3 linked regions of the Stegostoma tigrinum genome follow. The protein of the gene in region 2 purifies or fractionates together with the protein of the main gene of each other region. This does not show direct contact. Links are inferred from orthologs where the notes say so. Each region holds a gene or a part of one and is shown on either strand. Other genes may lie near its edges.

What was found. Proteins that work in one complex are often made in the same cells at the same time.
Region 1: the proteins of pes (region 2) and wdr12 purify together in Homo sapiens (co-immunoprecipitation; 7 studies listed by BioGRID and IntAct, counting the BioPlex papers as one, with this or other methods). This does not show direct contact. The link is inferred for Stegostoma tigrinum from reciprocal best matches to the Homo sapiens genes PES1 and WDR12.
Region 3: the proteins of pes (region 2) and ddx27 purify together in Homo sapiens (affinity purification with mass spectrometry; 4 studies listed by BioGRID and IntAct, counting the BioPlex papers as one, with this or other methods). This does not show direct contact. The link is inferred for Stegostoma tigrinum from reciprocal best matches to the Homo sapiens genes PES1 and DDX27.

The regions. Positions count from the first base shown.
Region 1 is NC_081360.1:26,349,438-26,356,901, reverse strand, and holds the start of wdr12 (ribosome biogenesis protein wdr12), read right to left. Parts: upstream 3,003-7,464; 5' UTR 2,997-3,002; coding exon 2,887-2,996; intron 1-2,886.
Region 2 is NC_081379.1:22,745,033-22,751,900, reverse strand, and holds the start of pes (pescadillo), read right to left. Parts: upstream 3,009-6,868; 5' UTR 2,926-3,008; coding exon 2,902-2,925; intron 2,473-2,901; coding exon 2,393-2,472; intron 1-2,392. UniProt on the Homo sapiens protein: Component of the PeBoW complex, which is required for maturation of 28S and 5.8S ribosomal RNAs and formation of the 60S ribosome.
Region 3 is NC_081372.1:55,194,210-55,201,419, reverse strand, and holds the start of ddx27 (probable ATP-dependent RNA helicase DDX27), read right to left. Parts: upstream 3,003-7,210; 5' UTR 2,896-3,002; coding exon 2,818-2,895; intron 1-2,817. UniProt on the Homo sapiens protein: Probable ATP-dependent RNA helicase. Component of the nucleolar ribosomal RNA (rRNA) processing machinery that regulates 3' end formation of ribosomal 47S rRNA.

The DNA of each region.
Region 1 (7,464 bases), on a different chromosome or scaffold from region 2:
CACTTGATATTCTACATCTGCTGTATTTTACTACTGTATTAATTTGAAATGATCTCAACTGAGAAGAGGTTCGACATGTTAAGAATCACCAGCACCATGTGGAAGTCCTAAATAGTCAGGTAGACAAAGGGAAATAAGTAAATGTGGCATCATTTAACTTTATATTGGAACACAGGTAGATATTTCTGTCATCATAAGCAAGGTTCCAGGATGGTGTGTTGTCCTCCTGATGCCAAGATCAAGGATGTCTCCAAGCAGACATGTGATACTGTGAAAGGGGAGGGTAAGCAGTCAGAGATCATGGCTCCTATTCAACCTAACCTCATAGACAGAAACAGGTACGAGGTCCTGAAAGGGAATTTAGGGAGTTAGGTAGAAAATTGCAAAACAGGGTCTCTAGGTTTGTAATCTCAAGATTACTCCCTGTTTCACGTGTTAGTGAGGCCAGTTGAATGCATGGCAAAAGAGATGGTGTTGGAGTATTCATCAGATATCTGGATCATTGGGATTTCTCCCAAGGTAGGAGGTACCTGTACAAGGTGGACAGGTTGCATTCTAACTGGACATCGACTGAACATCAATGTCCTAGCAGGGAGATTTGCTACTGTCACTCGGAATGGGTTAAATTAGTGTGGCAGGGGGTTGGGAATCACAGGTCAATCATCTAGATCTTAGGTGAGAAGGTCCTTCACTCAAAGGGTAATAAATTCTTGGAATTCTTCATTCAAAAAGTAGGAAATACTCCATTGTTATGTACAGTTTAGCTTGAGATGATGACAGATTCCTGGTGTCAGGGAATCACGGAATAAATATGCACTGCAGTGGGTGGATGGTATTGAAACTGAAGGTCAGCTATAATTGTACTGAATGGTCGAGCAGGCTGAGTGATGCACGTGGTCTACTCATGCTCCTACTTTTTACGTTCTCAAAAGTTTTAATGATCACACTTCCAAGATTATTATAGCGGAAAAATTTAATAAGGTCACATACAATGACGGAATCCCACTATTAACAGTCTTAATTTTACGATTTCTTTTCAAATGTTTTAATTGATAAATGACCTCATTTCAGAAGGACTGCAGACTGATATGAAAATTGGGCAGAATTCATGACGCTGATCACACAGTCCGGTAGCAGCATGTGCTGTGAAGTAATTTAGATTATAAGTCAAACATAGGTCCTGCACAGTGGCTAGCACTGCAGCCTCACAGCACCAGGGACGTGGATTCAATTCCACCCTCTGGCAACTGTGTGTGAAGTCTGCATGTTATGTCTGTTTGATTTTCCTCTGGGAGCTCTGGTTTCCTCCCATCATCTGAAGATATGCAGGTGAGGTGGACTATCCATGCTAAATTTCCACATTAGTGTCCTGGGGTGTGTAGATGAATTAGCTATGGGAAATACAGGGTTAATGGGAAAGCGTAGGGAGGTTGGGTTGCTCTTTGGACAATCAGTGTGAACTTGATGGGCCAAATGGCCTGCTTCCACACTATAGGAATTCTATGACTTGTTCTTAATGCTTTCCATTATGGAATTTTCTCAAGGCAGCACTGAACTTATTCAATTTAAACCTATGCTGGTGAGGGATGAATTGCCTTAGCTCTCAACAGTCTTTACTTACACTAATGCACATCAGAAAATATCCTTAAACTGAATAGCAGCAACATTAAACAACCTTACAGAAATGTAAAGGTGAAGCTGTGGAGAGTAAAGAGTAAATAAGGGAGAAGAGGCTGCAAGGAGAAAATCTGTCCGTGGAGATTAAAATGACAAAGTTAACATGAAGAAGTTAGTAATAGGAGAACAGTTAAGTTAATGCTAATAAGCAAGTTATTGGTTCTGCTCTTTCCTCTCTGACACTTTACAATTGCCACCCCATCCCATCCCATGTCATGTCATAGTATTCAACTTCCAACTGGCACCTTCCCAGAATTTTGAGTCAAAGAGTTCATCAAGAAGGGAATGTGGGTGATAACTGTGATTAAGTAGTAAAAGACTACATGCATTACAGGCATCATTCAAGGTAATAGTTTACCGTGCGCTCGGGTTTTTAAACAAGGTCGCGGGAGATCTAGCAACGGATCAGAGATCCTCGGATGACGGCTCAAAGTGTAGTGTGTCGGCTCCCTCTCTCCCTATTTGTTTCAGAATCCCCTTTCCCTCCCCCTTTTCTGATGAAGGGTCTAGGCCTGAAACGTCAGCTTTTGTGGTCCTGAGATGCTGCTTGGCCTGCTGTGTTCATCCAGCTCCACACTTTGTTATCTCGGATTCTCCAGCATCTGCAGTTCCCATTATCTCTGATACAATTATTTCAAAACAACTCGTTCAAGGTGCGGGGCCCGGAGGGGAGGGGGTGCGCTATTCAGACCAACCCCTCTGCCCATCTGTGCCTCATCTTTCACACCTGGCAGTGAGACCGGGTTGAGAGTTGGGTCGGAGACAGTGGGAACTGCAGATGCTGGAGAATCCATGATAACAAAGTGTGGAGCTGGATGAACACAGAAGGCCAAGGAGCATCTCAAGAGCACAAAAGCTGACGTTTCGGGCCTAGACTCTTCAGAGAGGGGTCGGGGCCGGTAGCCTCTCCTGAAACACTCCACAGTGTTCCTCTTCACAGTGAATCCTCTCCACAGATGCTGCCGGACATGCTGCGGTTTTTTTTTCTCTCCAGCAACATCTGATGTTGCTGCCCGCGCTGTAATGCCCCGTTCGGTTGAACCTCGCAAAACCAAAACGTGGGAGAAGAGAAAGAGCCTGTAAAGACCGGTTTTACTGAACTGGGGCGTGGGTGGAGGGAATGGAGCAGCACCGTGGATAGGGCTCGGTCCCGCCGGGCCGTTAGACGGCACTCGGGAGGCCCCGGTTAATGCCGGGCTCCGGACTCACCTCCGATCCTCGGTGTAAAAGCGAGCCTGCACCTGCGCCATGTTGGGAGGATGGAGTCGGAGTCGCGCTTGCGCACTGTCTGCCGCCAGCACCAGGCCACCCCCAACCATCGCGCTGTCACAGAGCACCCGCGCCACGTGACCTCCCCAGGCACGACCTGTCGACCGCCGCGGCGGGGAAAATAACAAACCTCGATCACGCCTTCTGCTATCTATTGGACGTGGCTCTGAAAGGCGCGCTCCATCCTAATGTACGGCGGCTGCTCTCACTTTGAAGGTCACCAGATGTGACTTTTGGGGGAGAAGAAGCTGTGCTACAGGATGGTCTCCGCTACCTCAAAAAAACACAAGACGGCAAATCAAGAAAACTAAGATAACAAAGTGTGGAGCTGGATGAACACAGCAGGCCAAGCAGCATCTCAGGAGCACAAAAGCTGACGTTTCGGGCCTAGACCCTTCATCAGAGAGGATGTCCCATCAAAGGGTCTGGGCTCCACACTTTGTTATACTGGATTCTCCAGCATCTGCAGTTCCCATTATCTCCGAATCAAGAAAACTAATGCGGCTCTTAAGTATAACTTGATCATTGCTTAATTCTGTCCTGTCTAATACAGCAACTTTTTTTAAAAAATGGAAAAATGTCGCTCACCAGGGTTTACATAAGCGAGGGTTCCTCACAAAGATCGTCTACTTTATCTGAAAACTTCTTAAACAGGCAGATTCAACACCCACAGATGAAAGGAGAACACTCTGCGACGCCTTTCCTGGCGTCAGGATGTCCCATACAAAAGGAATTAAATGTTCAGTCACAGTTGTGATGCAGGTAAACACCACATCCAATTTTCAAGCCGCAAGCAAGCTGTCACAAACAGCAAAATAAAGATCTGCTTTCGTTATTGGTGGCATGTAAATGCATACAGAACAAAATGTCACCACACCTACAGTTGTAACCCTTTCAGACCCCTTTATCACACTGTCAAAACTTGGCGAAGGCAGTTGAGGAAGGTTTGTTTTCCTGTGTAACCAGAGTAACTGAGGTATAAACATTAGGCAGAATGCCAGGAATAACTCTCTTGCTATTCTTTAAAATACTGTACTGAGATCATCCAAACAGCCAGAGTGCACCTCAATTTAACATCTTATCCAAAAGCCAGCACAGCCAATGGTGCTTTGGAATTGTACTGCAGTCGGGTGTTGGCTTTGATTTCCGTACTCAAGTCTCTGAGAATTGGGACTTGAACCTGAAACAGGCGGTTCAGAGGTGAATGCACTATCAGCCAAACTACAACTGAAAGCCTACGAAAATTGAAAGAAGTCACATGAGCTTAGTAAGTATACAGATGGCAGCTCAAAACAAAAATCAGGAATATATTTTGTAATAACAAGGTGTAGAGCTGGATGAACACAGCAGGCCAAGCAGCTTCAGAGCAGCAGGAAGGCTGATGTTTCGGACCTAGAGCTTTCTTCAGAAATACCACTTCAACCTTCCTGCTCCCCTGATGCTGCTTGGCCTGCTGTGTTCATCCATCTCTGCACCTTGTTATCTCAGCTTCTCCAGGTTCTGCAGTTCCTACTATCTCTGAATAAATTTTGGAAGTATGAATTAGGAAAATGTACAGTTTAAATTTTAACGTTTAATGGAGCAGGTAGACAGCTCACTGGCACACTTTAAATGTGAATGTAATGAAAGAAATAACAGAGCGCTTGGCATTAAACCTGAAGGCATAAAATTTAAAATGAAGTAGATAATTTCACAAGATCTCAATTAGGGTGAAGTCAGAGCATTGTGTAGTTTTGTCATCTCAGTGCAGATTTGTTTGAATGTTCTGAAGACATATTGAAAGGTTTGAGCTTTTCCAATAGTGCCAACAGGTTGAAAAAGCCTCTTGGATACTTCAATTCTGAGAAGTTAAAATTGATCGAGAGACAATCATTACTTATTAATGAACAAAAAAGATAAACTAAAATAATTAATGGATAGTTTAGAAAAAAAAGGGAACTTGTGAAACCAAAGTCAAGAAGTACGTTAATTTGGGAATTAGATTGCTGCTCAAAAGACAGAAATATTAGAACATACACGAGAAATGTAACAATAGCTTTGGAATTTAGCCAGCGTTATGTCTGTAGATTTAAAGTTTTGTTTCTGTTATTTTTAAATTGTCAAACTCATTTTTGGTTTCTACTTACATCTTGTATCATCGTTCACACGTACAACATTCTTGAAGAAAATAGGAATTGCATAAACCAGAGACAGTAGTGTGGAGCTGGAGGAACAACAGGCCAGGAAGCATCTGAAGAAGGGTCACAATCCAAAATGTCAACTTTCCCGTTCCTCTACTGCTGCCTTGGCCTGCTGTGTTCCTCTAGCTCCATGCTGTGTTGTCTCTGACTCAAGCATCTGCAGTTCTTGCTGTCTCTGAGTGCATAAACCAGATTTCTTCCACTTTGAGATAATGGGAATTGCAGATGCTGGAGAATCCGAGATAACGAAGCGTGGAGCTGGATGAACACAGCAGGCCGAGCAGCATCTTAGGAACACAAAAGCTGAGGTTTCGGGCCTAGACCCTTCATCAGATAAAGGGAAGGGGAAGAGGGTTCTGAAATAAATAGGGAGAAAGGGGAAGGCAGACTGAAGATGGATAGAGGAGAAGATAGGTGGAGAGGAGAGAGACAAGTTAAAGAGACGGGGATGGAGCCAGTAAAGGTGAGTGTAGGTAGGGAGGGGATAGGTCAGTCCGTGGAGGACTTACAGGTCAAGGGGGCGGGATGAGGTGAGTAGGTAGGAAATGGGGGTGCACCTTGAGGTGGGAGGAGGGAATAGGTGAGAGGAAGAACAGGTTAGGGAGGCGAGGACGAGCTGGGCTGGTTTTGGGATGCGGGGGTGGGGGGAGGGGTAGATTTTGAAGCTTGTGAAGTCCACATTGATAGCATTGTGCGGCAGGATTCTGAAGCGGATTACGAGTTGCTGTTCCTACAACCTTTGGGTGGCATCGTTGTGGCACTGCAGGAGGCCCTGGATGGACATGTCATCTAAGGAATGGAAGGAGGGATTGAAATCGTTCGCGACTGGGAGGTGCAGTTGTTTATTGCGAGCTGAGTGTAGTGTTCTGCAAAGCAGTCACCAAGCCTCCGCTTGGCTTCCCCAATGTAGAGGAGGCCACAATGGGTACAGCGGATGCAGTATACCACACTGGCAGAAGTGCAGGTGAACATCTGATTGAAGTGGAAAGTCCTCTTGAGGTCTGGGATGGGAGTGAGGGAGGAAGTATGGGGGCAGGTGTTACACTTCCTGCAGTTGCAGGAGCAAGTGTCGGGTATGGTGGGGTTGGAGGGGAGTGTGGAGCTGACAAGGGAGTCACGGAGAGAGTGGTCCCTCTGGAAAGCAGACAAGAGTGGGGAGGGAACAACGTCTTTGGCGGTGGGGACGGATTTCAGATGGCAGAAGTGTCAGAGGATGATGCGTTGGATCCAGAGATTGGTGGGGTGGTACGTGAGGATGAGGGGGATTCTCTTTTGGTGGTTGTTGCGGGGATGGGTTGTGAGGGATGAGTTGTGGGAAATGTGGGAGACATGGTTGAGGGCATTCTCTACCACTGGGGGGGGGGGGGGGAGCGGTTTTGTGGTCCTTGAAAAATGAGGACATCTGAGATGTATGGGAGTGGAATGCCTCATCCTGGGAGCAGATGTGGCAGAGGCGAAGGAATTGGGAACGGGGATGGAATTTTTGCAGCAAAGTGGATGGGAGGTGGTGTACCCACATGGGCTCAAGCTATGCCTGCCTCTTTGTAGGTTACGTGGAACAATCCTTCTTCCGTATCTACACTGGCCCTAAACCCCACCTCTTCCTCTGTTACATTGATGACTGTATCAACGCCACCTCGTGCTCCCACGAGGAACTTGAACAGTTCATCCAGTTCAACACCTTCCACCCCAACCTCAAGTTCACCTGGACCATCTCCAACACCTTCTTCACATTCCTGGACCTCTCTATCTCCATCTCAGGCAACCACCGAGAAACCAATATCCGTTTCAAGCCCACCAACTCCCACAGCTACCTAGAATACACCTCCTCCCACCCACCTTCCTGCAAAAATTCCATCCCCTATTCCCAACTCCTTCACCTCTGCCACATCCCTCCACACCACTCCCCCCCCCCCCCCCCCCCACCCCGTTAGTGGTCGAGAATGCCCTTGACTGTGTCTCCCGCATTTGTGGTGCTGGCTCAAAGGGTCAAATGGCTACTCCAGCACCTATTGTCTATTTCCTGCAACTCATCCCTCACACCCCATCCCCGCAATAACCACCAAAACAGAATCCCCCTTGTCCTCACCTACCACCCTACCAACTCCAGATCCAACGCGTCATCCTCCGACACCTCTGCCATCTACAATCCAACCCCAACACCAAAGACATTTTTCCCTCCTCTCCCTTGTCTGCTTTCCGGAGGGACCACTCTCTCTGAGACTCCCTTGTCTGCTCCACACTCCTCTCCAACACCACCATACCAGGTACTTCCCCTGCAACTGCAGGAAGTTCTACACCTGCAACCCCACACCTCCTCCCTCACCCCCATCCCAGG
Region 2 (6,868 bases):
AAAAAGTCAGAGTTAACACTTCTGGTCCTGTGACCCTTCCTCGGTTTAGGTAACTCTCTTTCTCAGAGAAGAGAGCTCAGAAGAGCCAGGAGGAGACATGAGAAGTTGTTGACGGATAGGATCAGGGTAAACCCAAAGGCTTTCTATGGCTATTTAAGGAATAAAAGAATGACAAAAGTAAGATTAGGCCCAATCAAGGATAGTAGTGGTAAGTTGTGTGTGGAGTCAGATGAGATAGGGGAAGCGCTAAATGAATATTTTTCAACAGTATTCACTCTAGAAAACAACAATGTTGTTGAGGAGAATACTGAGATACAGGCTACTAGACTAGGTGGGATTGAGGTTCACAAGGAAGAGGTATTAGAAATCCTTCAGAGGGTGAAGACGGATAAGTCCCCTTGGCCGGATGGGATTTATCCTTGGATCCTCTGGGAAGCCAGGGAAGAGATTGCCGAGCCTTTGGCATTGATCTTTAACTCGGCATTGTCTACAGGAATAGTGCCAGATGACTGGAGGATAGCAAATGTGGTTCCCCTGTTCAAGAAGGGGAGTAGAGACAACCCTGGTAATTATAGACCAGTGAGCCTTACCTCAGTTGTTGGTAAAGTGTTGGAAAAGGTTATAAGGGATAGGATTTATAATCATCTAGAAGAGAGTAAATTGATTAGGGATAGTCAGCACGGTTTTGTGAACGGAAGGTCGTGCCTCACAAACCTTATTGAGTTCTTTGAGAAGGTGACCAAACAGGTAGATGAGAGTAAACTGGTTGATGTGGCGTACATGGATTTCAGCAAGGCGTTCGATAAGGTTCCCCACAATAGGCTATTGTACAAAATGTGGAGGAATGGAATTGGGGGAGACACAGCAGTTTGGATCGGAAATTGGCTTGCTGAAAGAAGACAGAGGGTGGTAGTTGATGGGAAATATTCATCCTGGAGACCAGTTACTCGTGGTGTACCGCAAGGGTCGGTGTTGGGTCCACTGCTGTTTGTCATTTTTATAAATGACCTGGATGAGGGCGTAGAAGGATGGGTTAGTAAATTTGCAGACGACACTAAGGTTGGTGGAGTTGTGGATAGTGACAAAGGATGCTGTAGGTTGCAGAGAAACATAGATAAGCTGCAGAGCTGGGCTGACAGGTGGCAAATGGAGTTTAATGCAGACAAGTGTGAGGTGATGCACTTTGGTAGGAGTAACCGGAAGGCAAAGTACAGGGCTAATGGTAAGATTCTTAGTAGTGTAGATGAGCAGAGAGATCTCGGTGTCCACGTACACAGATCCTTGAAAGTTGCAACCCAGGTTGACAGGGCTGTTAAGGTGGCATACAGTGTTTTAGCTTTTATTAATAGAGGGATCGAGTTCTGGAACCAAGAGGTTATGGTGAAGCTGTACAAAACTCTGGTGCGGCCGCACTTGCAGTATTGTGTACAGTTCTGACCACCACATTATAAGGAGGATGTGGAAGCTTTGGAAAGGGTGCAGAGGAGATTTACTAGGATGTTGCCTGGTATGGAGGGAAGGTCTTACGAGGAAAGGCTGAGAGACTTGAGGCTGTTTTCATGAGAGAGGTTGAGAGGTGACTTAATTGAAACATAAAATAATCAGAGGGTTAGATAGGGTGGATAAGGAGAGCCTTTTTCCTAGGATGGTGACAGCAAGCATGAGGGAGCATAGCTTTAAATTGAGGGGTGAAAGATACAGGTCAGATGTCAGAGGTAGTTTCTTCACTCAGAGTAGTAAGGGAATGGAACGCTTTGCCTGCAACAGTAGTAGATTCGCCAACTTTAGGTACATTTAAGTCATCATTGGATAAGCATATGGACGTACGTGGAATAGTGTAGGTTAGATGGGCTTGAGATCGGTATGACAGGTCGGTACAACATCGAGGGCCGAAGGGCCTGTACTGTGCTGTAATGTTCTATGAAATGTTAACTCTTTTTTTTCCTTCACAGATGCCACCAGACCTATTGAGCTTTTTCAGCAACTTGTTTTTGTTCCTGTTTTATAGCATCTGCAGTTCTTTCAGTTTTTAGTCTGATCCTTCCCAATTACCTTGACTCTATGTGCATAATTACGGCTGCTGTAATGTCTGATATTTGCACCTTCCCCACAACAAAGGTCAAGCTAATTGGCCTATCCTTTTTTTTTCTGCCACACGTCCTTCTTGAATAGTGGGATTATGTTTCCATCTTTCCAGTTCTGGTGTAGCATTTCCAGAATCTAGCAAATCTTGTAAAAAGAACATCAATGCATCTGTTACCTTGGTAGCTACTTCTTTTAAAGACCCTAAAATTGAGCTCATCAGGAAATATTTAACACAATTTTCTTGATAACATTCACCCTCATCTAAATGCATAACTTGCTGGACACATTTAAATAAACGTGATTTTACCTGAAATCTGCAAGACTAAGTTGCAACTTCTTCCTGGCTTTATTTCTAGTAATGTAGTTTGTAGCAGCTCCTCTTTCGTACTGGTGAAAAACAAAGCATTTTAGTTTTCAGCAAAAGAAAAATCTCAATTTTGAGCATCAGTGTAGCAGCTGCACTGTAGACAATATTTCAACTGGGGAAGGACAGAAGCTGTAAGAATGGCACAGCTACTGAGTACGAGGGAAGAGGGCACAGTGGGGGTGGGGTGGGGGGGGGAGGACATGGGTAGGGGTTACTGGTTACTAGGCAATACCGGGGGGGGGGGGGGGAACAGTTACTAGTTACCAGGCAATGGGAGGAGAGGGGCGGTTTATTAGACTAGCTTGCTGGGTCCAGGCCCGAGGCTGCCATCGTAAAAAGTCACATTCGTAATGCTGCCGAATCGCTCAAGACAAAGCGGACGGCAGAACTGTAAGAGATTTTTACATAATCATTCCCGGCCGGTTACCCTCTCCTCCCAAGCCCCGCACCTTCTTTTTCTCCAGTCCACCCATCTCCAACAACCCCTCCGCACATGGACAACTTTGAAAGACCCCCAGGACGTCGTCACAGAGTTGGCTATCCCACGCCGTACTAAATAGGCACAAGTTCCGCATTCAGAAATAACGTTGCAAATTTACATAATCAACTTTTTTTCATATAAAAATGAAACAATGTATTGAGAAGTCAGAGCTTTCAGGAATTAATTACAGGCATTTCATGGATGCCTGAGTATGTCCCATTGGGTGCATGCCCAGTTTCAGGGAGGGGGCGGAGTCTGTTTTTTTCTCTGTGGAGTATGTCATGTAGTTGAGATATTCAAAATGGTGCAGTAATTCATTAAAGCAGATGGACAGACCTTATTTTCTCTGGTGGGGAAATATATAATTTAATGGTTATTTAATGAACCCTGTGGGTAGCTTCTTCTGTCATAGGGGGTTTCTCAGGGCAGTGTCCTAGACGCAACCAAGTCCAGCTGCTTCACTAATGACCTTCCCTCCATCATAAAGTTAAAAGTTGAGATGTTCACCAATCGGTGCACAGTGTTCAGCGCCATTTGCGACTCCTTAGATGCTGAATGTTCAAATACAAGAAAATCTGGCCCTATCCAGATTTGGGCAAGTGACATTTGTGCCACACAAATGCAAGAAAATGACCATTGCCAATTAGAAATGATCCAACCCACCAACCTTTGATGGTATTGCTGCCACTAAATCCCCAACTATCAACATCCTGGGGGTTACTATTGACCAGAAACTCAACTGGATTGGCCACATAAACACATTGGGGCTCAAGAGCAGGTCAGAAGCTCAGAGTTCTGCGGCGAGTAACTCATCTCTTGACTCATCAATGTGTGTCTACTGTTTCCAAAAAGGTATTCTACCAATCAAACAATTGATCAGCAGAGTTGGGGTCATTGGTGTCACGCTAATGGAACTGTTATCAGGAGACAGTAGGAACTGCAGATGATGGAGAATCTGAGATAACAAGGTGTAGAGCTGGATGAACACAGCAGGCCAAGCAGCATCACAGGAGCAGGATTGGCTTGCTGTGTTTATCCAGCTCTACACCTTGTTATCTCTGAACTGTTGTCAGGATTTGGTGATATAAATTGTCCATATACCTGCTTGTCATACTTTCAGGGGTAAGGATGCTGATTTGTTACTGAAAATCCCTATTCTATCCCCGTACTCCCTTTTTAAAATATTTATTCATGGAATTAGATGTCATTGGCTGGGCTAGCATTTATTTCCCATCTCTAACTGCCCTGGAGAAGCTGGTGGTGAGCTGCAATCGTTGATGCATAGTGATACCTGTAATGATATTACAATGGAACAGTGAAAGAGTTCCCACGTCTTCACAGTGTGTTGCTTGGAAGGGAATTTGCAGGTGGTGCTGTTCCCACATATCTTGCTGCCCTTTTCCTTCCTGGTGATAGAGGTCATAGATTTGGAAGGTGCTATTGGGAAAGTATTGATAAGTTACTGCAGTGTATCTTGCAGGTGGCACATACTGCTGTGCATTAGGTGGTGAAGGGAGTGAATGTTGAAGGTGGGTTGGGCACTAGTATTGCAGGCTGCTACGTGCTGATTAGCATTAAGCTTCTTAAATTTGGTTGAAGCTGCACTCATCCAAAAAAGTGGAGAGTGTGCCATCACACTGTTGACTTGCGTCATACAGTTAGTAGACAGGCTTTGGAAAGGCAGGAGGTAAGTCGTTCATCATAGAATTCCTAACCACTGACCTCCCCTTGTAGATACAGTATTTATATGGCTGGGCTAATTCAGTTTCTGGTCAAGGGTAACCCTAAAAATGTTGATAGGAATTCAGTATTGGTAGTGTCATTGAACATCAGGAAGTGATGATCATTGCCTAGCACTTGTATGGCATAAGTGTTACTTTCCACTCATCAACCCAAGCCTAGATGTTGTCCAGGTGTTGCTGCACATGGACACAAACTGCTTCGATACCTGAGAAGTCACATTCGATATAATTTGTTGAGCGTTCTAAATTAACTCTCAACTGTTGTCTAGAATGACAAAGCAAACCACTCTATTCAAAAGTAATTGGGAACGCATATCAAGAGAGCAGACCCCCTTAAGGATCAAAGAGATTGTCTTTGTGTTGACCCTCAGGAGATGGGAGAGATAATAAATGAATATTTTGCATCTGTTTTTACTGTGGAGAAAGAAATGAAGCTGGAGAACTCAGGAAAATAAATGTTAATGTTTTGAAAACAGTTTACATTACAAAAGAGGAACTCTTGGAGGTCTTACAAAATATAAAGATGGATAAATCTCCAGGATCTTATCTAGTAAATCCTAGGACTTTTTGGGACATTAGAGAAGAAATTATTGGGCCCCTAGGAGAAATATTTGTATCATCTGTAACTGACTGGAAAGTGGTTAATGTTGTGCCTCTGCTGAAGAAAGGGTGTAAGGAGAAGCTTGGGAGCTGTAGACATGTAAGTCTGACCTTGTGGTGGAAAAGTTGTTGGAAGTGTTTCTGAAACAGCATTTGGAGAAGCAAGGAATGATTAGGAAAGTCAGCATGGTTTTGTACAAGGGAAATTGTGTCTCACAAACTTAATTGAGCTTTTTGAGCAAGTAACCAAAAAGATTGATGACGTCATAACTTTAGAAAAGCCTCTGACAAGGTTCCACATGGTAGACTAATTGCTAAAGTCAGATCACATGGGATTTAGGGTGAGCTTGCCAAATGGAGGCAAAATTGGCTGAACAACAGGAGACGGAGAGTGATGGTGGAGGGTTGTTTTTCAGACTGGTGACCTGTGATCAGTTATGTTCCACAGGGATCCGCACCGGGTTCACTTTTGTTTGACATTTACATATGAATATGTTATTTAAGTGCAAATACAGAAAGCATGTTTAGTCGGTTTGTGGATGAGACGGAAATTGGTGGTACAGTGGATAGTGAAGAAAGTTAGAGATAACAAGGTGCAGAGCTGGATGAACACAGCAGGCCAAGCAGCATCAGAGGAACAGGAAGGCTGACGTTTCAAGCCTAGACCCTTTTTCAGACCCTTCGGTCTATGCCCGAAACGTCAGCCTTCCTGCTCCTCTGATGCTGCTTGGCCTGCTGTGTTCATCCAGTTCTGCACCTTGTTATCTCAGATTCTCCAGCATCTGCAGTTCCTGCTATCAGTGTAGAAGGTTATCTAGGATTACAAACAGATCTTGGTCAATTAGGTCAATGTGCTGAAGAGTGGCAGATGGAGTTCAATTTGGGTAAATGCGAGGCTTTACATTTTGGAAAAACAAACAAAAACAAGAATTATACAATTAAAAGTAGGGCCTGAGGCACTGTCGTAGAACAGAGAGACCAAGGGAATAAAATGTGAGGCTGGATGAACACAGCAGGCCAAGCAGCATCTCAGGAGCACAAAAGCTGACGTTTCGGGCCTAGACCCTTCATCAGAGAGGGGGATGGGGGGAGGGAACTGGAATAAATAGGGAGAGAGGGGGAGGCGGACCGAAGATGGAGAGTAAAGAAGATAGGTGGAGAGGGTGTAGGTGGGGAGGTAGGGAGGTAGGGAGGGGTTAGGTCAGTCCAGGGAAGACGGACAGGTCAAGGAGGTGGGATGAGGTTAGTAGGTAGCTGGGGGTGCGGCTTGGGGTGGGAGGAAGGGATGGGTGAGAGGAAGAACCGGTTAGGGAGGCAGAGACAGGTTGGACTGGTTTTGGGATGCAGTGGGTGGGGGGGAAGAGCTGGGCTGGTTGTGTGGTGCAGTGGGGGGAGGGGATGAACTGGGCTGGTTTAGGGATGCAGTAGGGGAAGGGGAGATTTTGAAACTGGTGAAGTCCACATTGATACCATATGGCTGCAGGGTTCCCAGGCGGAATATGAGTTGCTGTTCCTGCAACCTTCGGGTGGCATCATTGTGGCAGTGCAGGAGGCCCATGATGGACATGTCATCAAGAGAATGGGAGGGGGAGT
Region 3 (7,210 bases), on a different chromosome or scaffold from region 2:
CTGACCCTCACTTAATGTTAACTTTGATTTCTCTCCATAGATGCTGCCTGACCTGCCAAGCTTTTCCAGCAATATCTACTTTTGTCTCTGATTTACAGCATCTGCAGTTCTTACAGTTTTTATTTAATGCTAACCACTGTTCCATTTTCAAACACTCACTCGGCTGAAAAATCCTCAAGTTGTTCCAAAATTTGCCATAATTTGGAAACGTACCTCTTCTCCCACGGTGGCACAGTCGTTAGCACTGCTGACTCACAGCACCAGTGACCAGGGTTCAATTCCACCCTCAGGTGACTATCTGCGTGGAGTTGGCACATTCTCCCCGTGTCTGCGTGTGTTTCCTCCGGGTGCTCTGGTTTCCTGCCACTATCCCAAGCTGTGAATGGGCCTTGCTAAATTGCCCATAGTGTTCAGGGATGTGCAGGTTAGGTGTGTTAGCCTTGGGAAATGCAGGGTAACAGGGCAAGTGTAAAGGGATGAGTCTAGGTGGGATGCTCTTCAGAGGGTCAATGTGGACTTGTTGGGCCAAATGGCCTGTTTCCACACCGTAGGGATTCTATGATAACACCTGAAGTCAAACAGGTCACTCTAAATTGACTGTGGTAATCTATCCTTCCTCGTCTTTCTAGACCTGTCAGCAGTCTGAGATGATTGACCACACTATCCTCTGTTGTTCTGATAGCCTGGCACTGTACTCATCTGCTTCTACTCTTACTGGAAAATTGTCTGTGATTGTTCTTCTTCTCACTCCTGCATTTTGACTTCTGGACTTACCCAATCATCTGTTCTCAGTGCATCACCATTTCTCATCTGCAGGCTGCCCCTCAGCGATTTCACCTGAAAACATTCAACAACCAGCTACGTATCAACACACACTGCTCAACCCTCCACTGCCTTCGAATGGTCATACTGCATGTCTGACAGACAGGACCCGATGATCAGAAATACCTTCCAATTAAATGTTTGGAAGACCAACAATACTTTCTACAGTCCACACATCAAACCTCAATTCCCTAGCCGATTCAATCCCTCTCCATAGATACTGTCCAAGATTGAACCACACTGTTCAGAACTAAGCATCCTATTTTACCTCGAGCTGAGCTTCTCGTGAAATACCCTTCCACTCCCACCTCAGCATATCTTCTGCTGTCAAAAGACGTGACTAACTCAAATGCTACCCTGGCTAGGCTGCTGCGTTGCACCCTTGATAAATGTCAGCTCATCCAAAACTCTGCTGTGTTGTAACTCATATCAAATCCTTTTAATCCACTACCTCAATGCTTGCTGAGAATTTTCAGCTGTTGCGCAACCCCAATATTCTTCATTTCCTCACAAGCAAATTTCTAGAAGCAATTTTAAGAGACACACTCTATTACAAGTTCAACAGAAAAGAGGTTCTGACGAGACTTTAACACGGGTTCTGGAAAAGATTCATTTTCAAATACTCACATGAGGTACTACATGATAGCCTATAGAGCAAATCTCAGAGTTTAGGTTATATCGTCTTGAACTGAGCGATTTTTGAGAGTGTCTGTTGTTCTCCACTATCTACATTAATAATGTAAATTAAAGCACATATAAACTGTACATTTCGAGATGAAACAGTTGTATTAGTTAAAAGCCTTGTATGGGGAAAACCAATCAGATTAGATTGAGTGAATGAATTCACATCTGATGGATGATATTTACTGCAGACAAATGAACAGACTTGCTTTAGTACAGTATTTCATCTCTCTTGTGCATAGTAACAAATGACCTATATTCTTCAAACCTTTGACCCTGGCCTTTTACACTTTTTGCCTTGTCACAGAACCTTTAACTGTCTCAGCCCTTATCTCTGGGGCATTCTGCTTCAAATAAAAAGCTATATTTTTAAACAAGGAGTCATTGAACTTTTATTACAATTCTCATAGTGACCAGACGTCTCAAAGTAAAATACTTTTCAAAAGCTTAGCCACCGTTCTAATGTAGCAGCCAATTTGGACACTATAAACTAACTTCACTGCAGTAATGAACAATTTTTTTGTGCTGATGAGGGGAGATTGTTGGTCAGAACATTAGCGAAAACTCCTCTGCTCTTTTTTGAAGTTGTATCATGACATCTTTTGCACCCACTGCAGCCGACTGGGACCAATCTCAAATTAAGAAGTTGGGCATTTAAGGCAGAAATGAGGAGGAATTTCTTTCTGCGAGGGTAGTATCATCAGATCACCCATGATCTCACTGAATGGTGGAGCAGACTCGACGAGTTGAATGGTCTATTTCTGCTCCTACACCTTACGTAACTCTGGGAGAAATTTAAGGGATACTTTGGCAGAATGCACCATACAGCCGGGGGATGGGGGGGCGGCTGCTTTCTTATCAAAGAGTATTACAGGCAGGAGGGGGACATAGCGTTTGATTGAGAAAGGAAGGTCAAAAATGAAGGGAGAGCAGCAAACCGCCTGGTACACCTGCCTCAAGTATGTGTAAACGTCCAAACAGTTGGTCACGCTGACCTAAGCAGCCAGGTGGGGGTGGGTCTGTCGGAAAGACAACGCGGCCCTCCATCGGTCTCGATTTCGTGCAGGGCTCAAGCAAAGGGGTGGGATTTGAACCCAGAATGTCCCATTACCCGGTTTAGTGGGATTTTAAATTTTAAAAAAAGTAAACAAAGTGCTGGAGAAACACGTCAGGTCTGCCAGCCTTTGTGAGGAGAGAATGAACGTTTCCAGTCTGGTCTGACTGCACTTCAGAAGCCTTGTTGGGATCTTGCTGCGTTCCACAGTGACCGCCGCAGCCGAAGTCACAGTAACCGACATCAAGGCCCGGCCTCACCTCTCCCTCAGAGCCCGTCTCCTCCTCCGGAACCTCGTCCTCCTCTCCAATCGTCCTGATTAAGTCGAAAGCAGCCATGGGATCCCGACAAACCGATCAGAAACCGGCACGTGTGAGGAAACTTCAGCCTGCGGGAGCACAACGTTCGTCGGCAAAACCCGTCCGCAGCAGAAGCGGCGGCTGGAACAAACAGTCCGCCCAACAATCGTTCCGGGCAACGAGAGTGAAGGCACAATTGCATGGACGAGGACATTACCAAATACATTTCGAGCCTTATGCTGCCAGAGGGAGTGCCGCAAATGTTCAGCAGACTTCTCCCTGGATGGCAATACTGTTCTATAAAGAGAAATAGGGCAAACTGCGCTTATATTCACCAGAGTTTTCAAGAATGAGACACAATCTCTGAAACTTGTAAACTACTTTAAAGGATAGATAGGGCATAAGAAACGTTTTCAGAAATAATGGGAACTGCAGATGCTGGAGAATCCAAGACAACAAAGTGTGAAGCTGGATGAACACAGCAGGCCAAGCTCCTGAGATGCTGCTTGGCCTGCTGTGTTCATCCAGCTTCACACTTTGTTGTCTAAGAAACGTTTTCCCTGGTTGGAGAGTCAAAAGCCAGGGGTGCAATTTAGAAAACAAGGTATTTCCATTAAGGACAAAGACAAGGAGAAATTATTTTACTTGGATGATTGTGAATCTTTGGAAACTGGGATCAGAGGGCTGTGGAGACTCAGTAGTTGGGTATTTTTAAACCAGATGTTGATAGATTGCAGGGTACCGATGATGTAAAAGATCGTGGGATTATTTGGGTAAAAGGCATTGAAGTTTTCGATCAACAATGATCATATTAAATGGTGCAGCAGACTTGAAAGGCTGAATGGCCTACTTATGAACCTATGTTGAGTGTTGTTGTAGCTGGCCTGTTTCCACACCATGGAATGTATATACACACATATAGCTATAGACATAGATATAAAATATATAATATTTTATATCTATGTATATAAAACATATATTAAAAAAACTGCCGATGCTGGAGACAGAGATAACACAGTGAGGAGCTGAAGGAACACAGCAAGCGGGGCAGTATCAGAAGGGCAGGAAAGCTGATGTTTCGGGTCTGGACCCTTCTTCAGAAAGTTTGAAGAGGGGTCCTGACCTGAAACATCAGTTTTCCTGCTCCTCTGGTGCTACCTCGCCTGCTGTGTTCCTCCAGCTCCACACTGTCATCCCAGATCAGTTTCACAATACTCTAAAAAAAAATGCCTTGGGATACCTTATTACATTAAAGCTGCTCTATAAACAAAATATTGTTATCAGAGGTGGTCATTACCTGACGCTTGATGTGAAAGTGTTACTTGCCAGACATATCAAACAAAGCTTTTGTTATGTAGGTCTTACTGTCCGGGGCACACGTTGCATCATTATCTGAGGGGTTGTGATTGGACCGAAGTGCTATAAAAGCTCAGTCGTTGAGTATTTTTGATGTAAAAGTTGTCAGATTTCTGATTACCAACACAGAACGGGGTTATGGGGTTATTTTGGGTAGAAGGCATTGAAGTTTTCAGTCAGCCATGATTGTATTAAATGGTGGTGAGGGTTTGACAGGCTGATGGCTCTACTCCTGTTCCTACATATGTTGAAGTTAATCAGATTTTATGACAGAAAATAGCAATCTAGTTGCACAGTAAAAACATACAACCATGGCGAGCAAAGAACTGATGTTAACTTCAGAAAGAAAGAACACATCCCCATCTACATCAATGGAACTGAGGTCAAGAGTGTTAAGAGTGTCAAGTTCCTAGGTATGGCGATAACCAACAACCTATCCTGGACTTCCAAATAGATTAACACCTGTTCCTCCTCAGGCAGCTCAGGAAATTTGGAATGTCCATCAGGTCCCTCACCAACTGTTACAGATGCACCAGGTGCATAATGGCCTGCTATAGCAACTGTTTCTGCCAGGACTATAAGAAACTACAGAAAGTCGTGTGCACAGCCCAGAGCATAACGGAAGCCAACCTTCCATCCATGGATAACAAAGTGTGAAGCTGGATGAACACAGCAGGCCAAGCAGCATCTCAGGAGCACAAAAGCTGATGTTTCGGGCCTAGACTCTTCATCAGAGATGGGGATGGGGAGAGGATTCTGCCCTCTGAAACGTCAGTTTTTGTGCTCCTGAGATGCTGCTTGGCCTGCTGTGTTCATCCAGCTTGACACTTTGTTATCCATGGATTCTCCAGCATCTGCAGTTCTCATTATCTCTCCCATCCATGGACTCCATTTATACCTCTTGTTGCCACGGAAAGGCTGCCAACAAAGATCCATCCCACTCCAGTGGGATGCTCTCCTACAAGAACCTTTGGTCAGGCAGAAGATACAGAAGCTTGAACACATGCACCAGAAGGTTCAAGAACAGCTTCTTCCCTGCCATATTAGACTGATGAACAGACTTTCTAACTTCAAATAATGTTGATTTTGTTAATGCTGATCTTGCCTTGCGCACATCCTATGCGCTAAAATGTTTATGGCCTCATGACGTCCAAGTTTTTTTCACCCTATGATGTGAATGTCCTTGCTTTCTATGACCTACCTGTATTGCTAACAGACAAAGCTTTTCACAATACATAGGTACACGTGACAATAAATCAAATCAAATCAGCAACAAGTACTGGTCTAAATGGGCATGTGCAAGCAGCCCTTTCTCTTCTTTGTTTTTCATGTCATCAACACTTGGCAACTTATCCAAAAATGTTAGCATTAGTGAACCTCAGGACTTTTTCTCACTACTCCACTAGGGTCTCTTGCCTTATACTTTTTTCTTAGGCTGGACAGCTGAATGGACTTTTATCATGCCTCTGTAGTCTTTCAACAATTGATTTATGGAACACTTTTATAAAACTAGAGTTATAAATGTTGAGAAACATTGAGTTGAAAAGATTTACTTTATATTTAGCTGTTATAATAACTGGTCAGTTTAGTTGTTATTCAGCAATGAATAATTCGCTAACATTAAATTTCAGTCTACTTCCACACACTAATGAATGTATCATGTATTTCAGCAGCACCTAAATGCGATAACATTACATGAAAAGTCTGCAGCTTTGTAGTCTAGTTGTTTACATCAACCGTTCGCTCTCCCAGAGTTGTCAAGACCTCATCTGACCACAGTCTCTTTCTGGGCTAGATACAATTGTCGTCAATTCAGAATCATAATTTAATGAGCTTTATTTCTAGAGAAACAAAATCCATATGCAGTTTCCAGTGAAACTAAATTTAAAACACCATCATATTCCTTTACTCCCATACACTAAGTATTGTGCCAAATGTTTAACAGAGTGCTTTTAGGGACCTTTCCCTTTGCTGTATTCCCCTCATCTAGTTTTTTTTGATGTAGAGAATCTTATTGGCTGAAGACTGGTATCCATGTAGCTTGTGATCTCAGGAGGAAGGCTTAAATAGATTATCAATGTCATTTCTGGCTGAAGATAGCTCCAAATGCTTTAGCCTGGTATTTTCAATTAATGGTAGCCCTCCTGTCATGGAAGATGGGGGTATTCATGGAGCATCTTTTGTTAATTAGTTGTTTAGTTGATCCCCACTATTGATAACTGGATATGAAAGAACTGCAATACTTTGATCTGATCTGATCTGTTCTGTTAGGAATAACAACCTAGGAATTAGAAATAATGACCTCTTTCCTTTGTCTATAAAGATGGCACTGCTACTGTTTAGCATGCAGTGCTGTAGTAGCTGCATTAAATTAGCATCTCATTTTTAGATACACTTGGTCCTAATTCCACAATCCTCATCGAACAATTAACTGTCTCCTGGCTCGATAGTAAAGGGAGGGATATTTCAAGCAAGATTAATGTTGAATAAATTCTGGTGCTCCAATGACCCACAATGTCTCCTGAATGTCCATCTTAGAGGTGTTTGATCTATTCTGAACTTATCCCATTTGGCTCAGTGGTATTGGATCTGGGGCTGGAACCACTTCAAAAGTAACATGCTGGGTTCAGAGGATGGATGAGCCAGGGCTACTAGATGCTCCCAATCCTTTTTAAAAATACAAATGCCTTGAAGCACCACACAGTTGATTGTTATGGAGTTTGGATTCTTATTGGGACTCAGTGAATTAAGCTGTCAGGTTGTAATACAGCTCTACTACTATTCCAAGTCCTAATCACCCACCTGGTACATCTCGGTAAAAAGGGCTAAACTTGTCAGTGATGCCCATATTTTGGAAATAAATTTAAAACCTCACTGCCATCGGCCAAGAATTGCTAAGATATCACAATTCAAGGAGTGAAAATGAGTGTTTCTAGTGTTCAGGGACTTTAGTTCTGGAGGAAGTAATCAAGAAAACTAAAAAGACAAAAAATAGAAA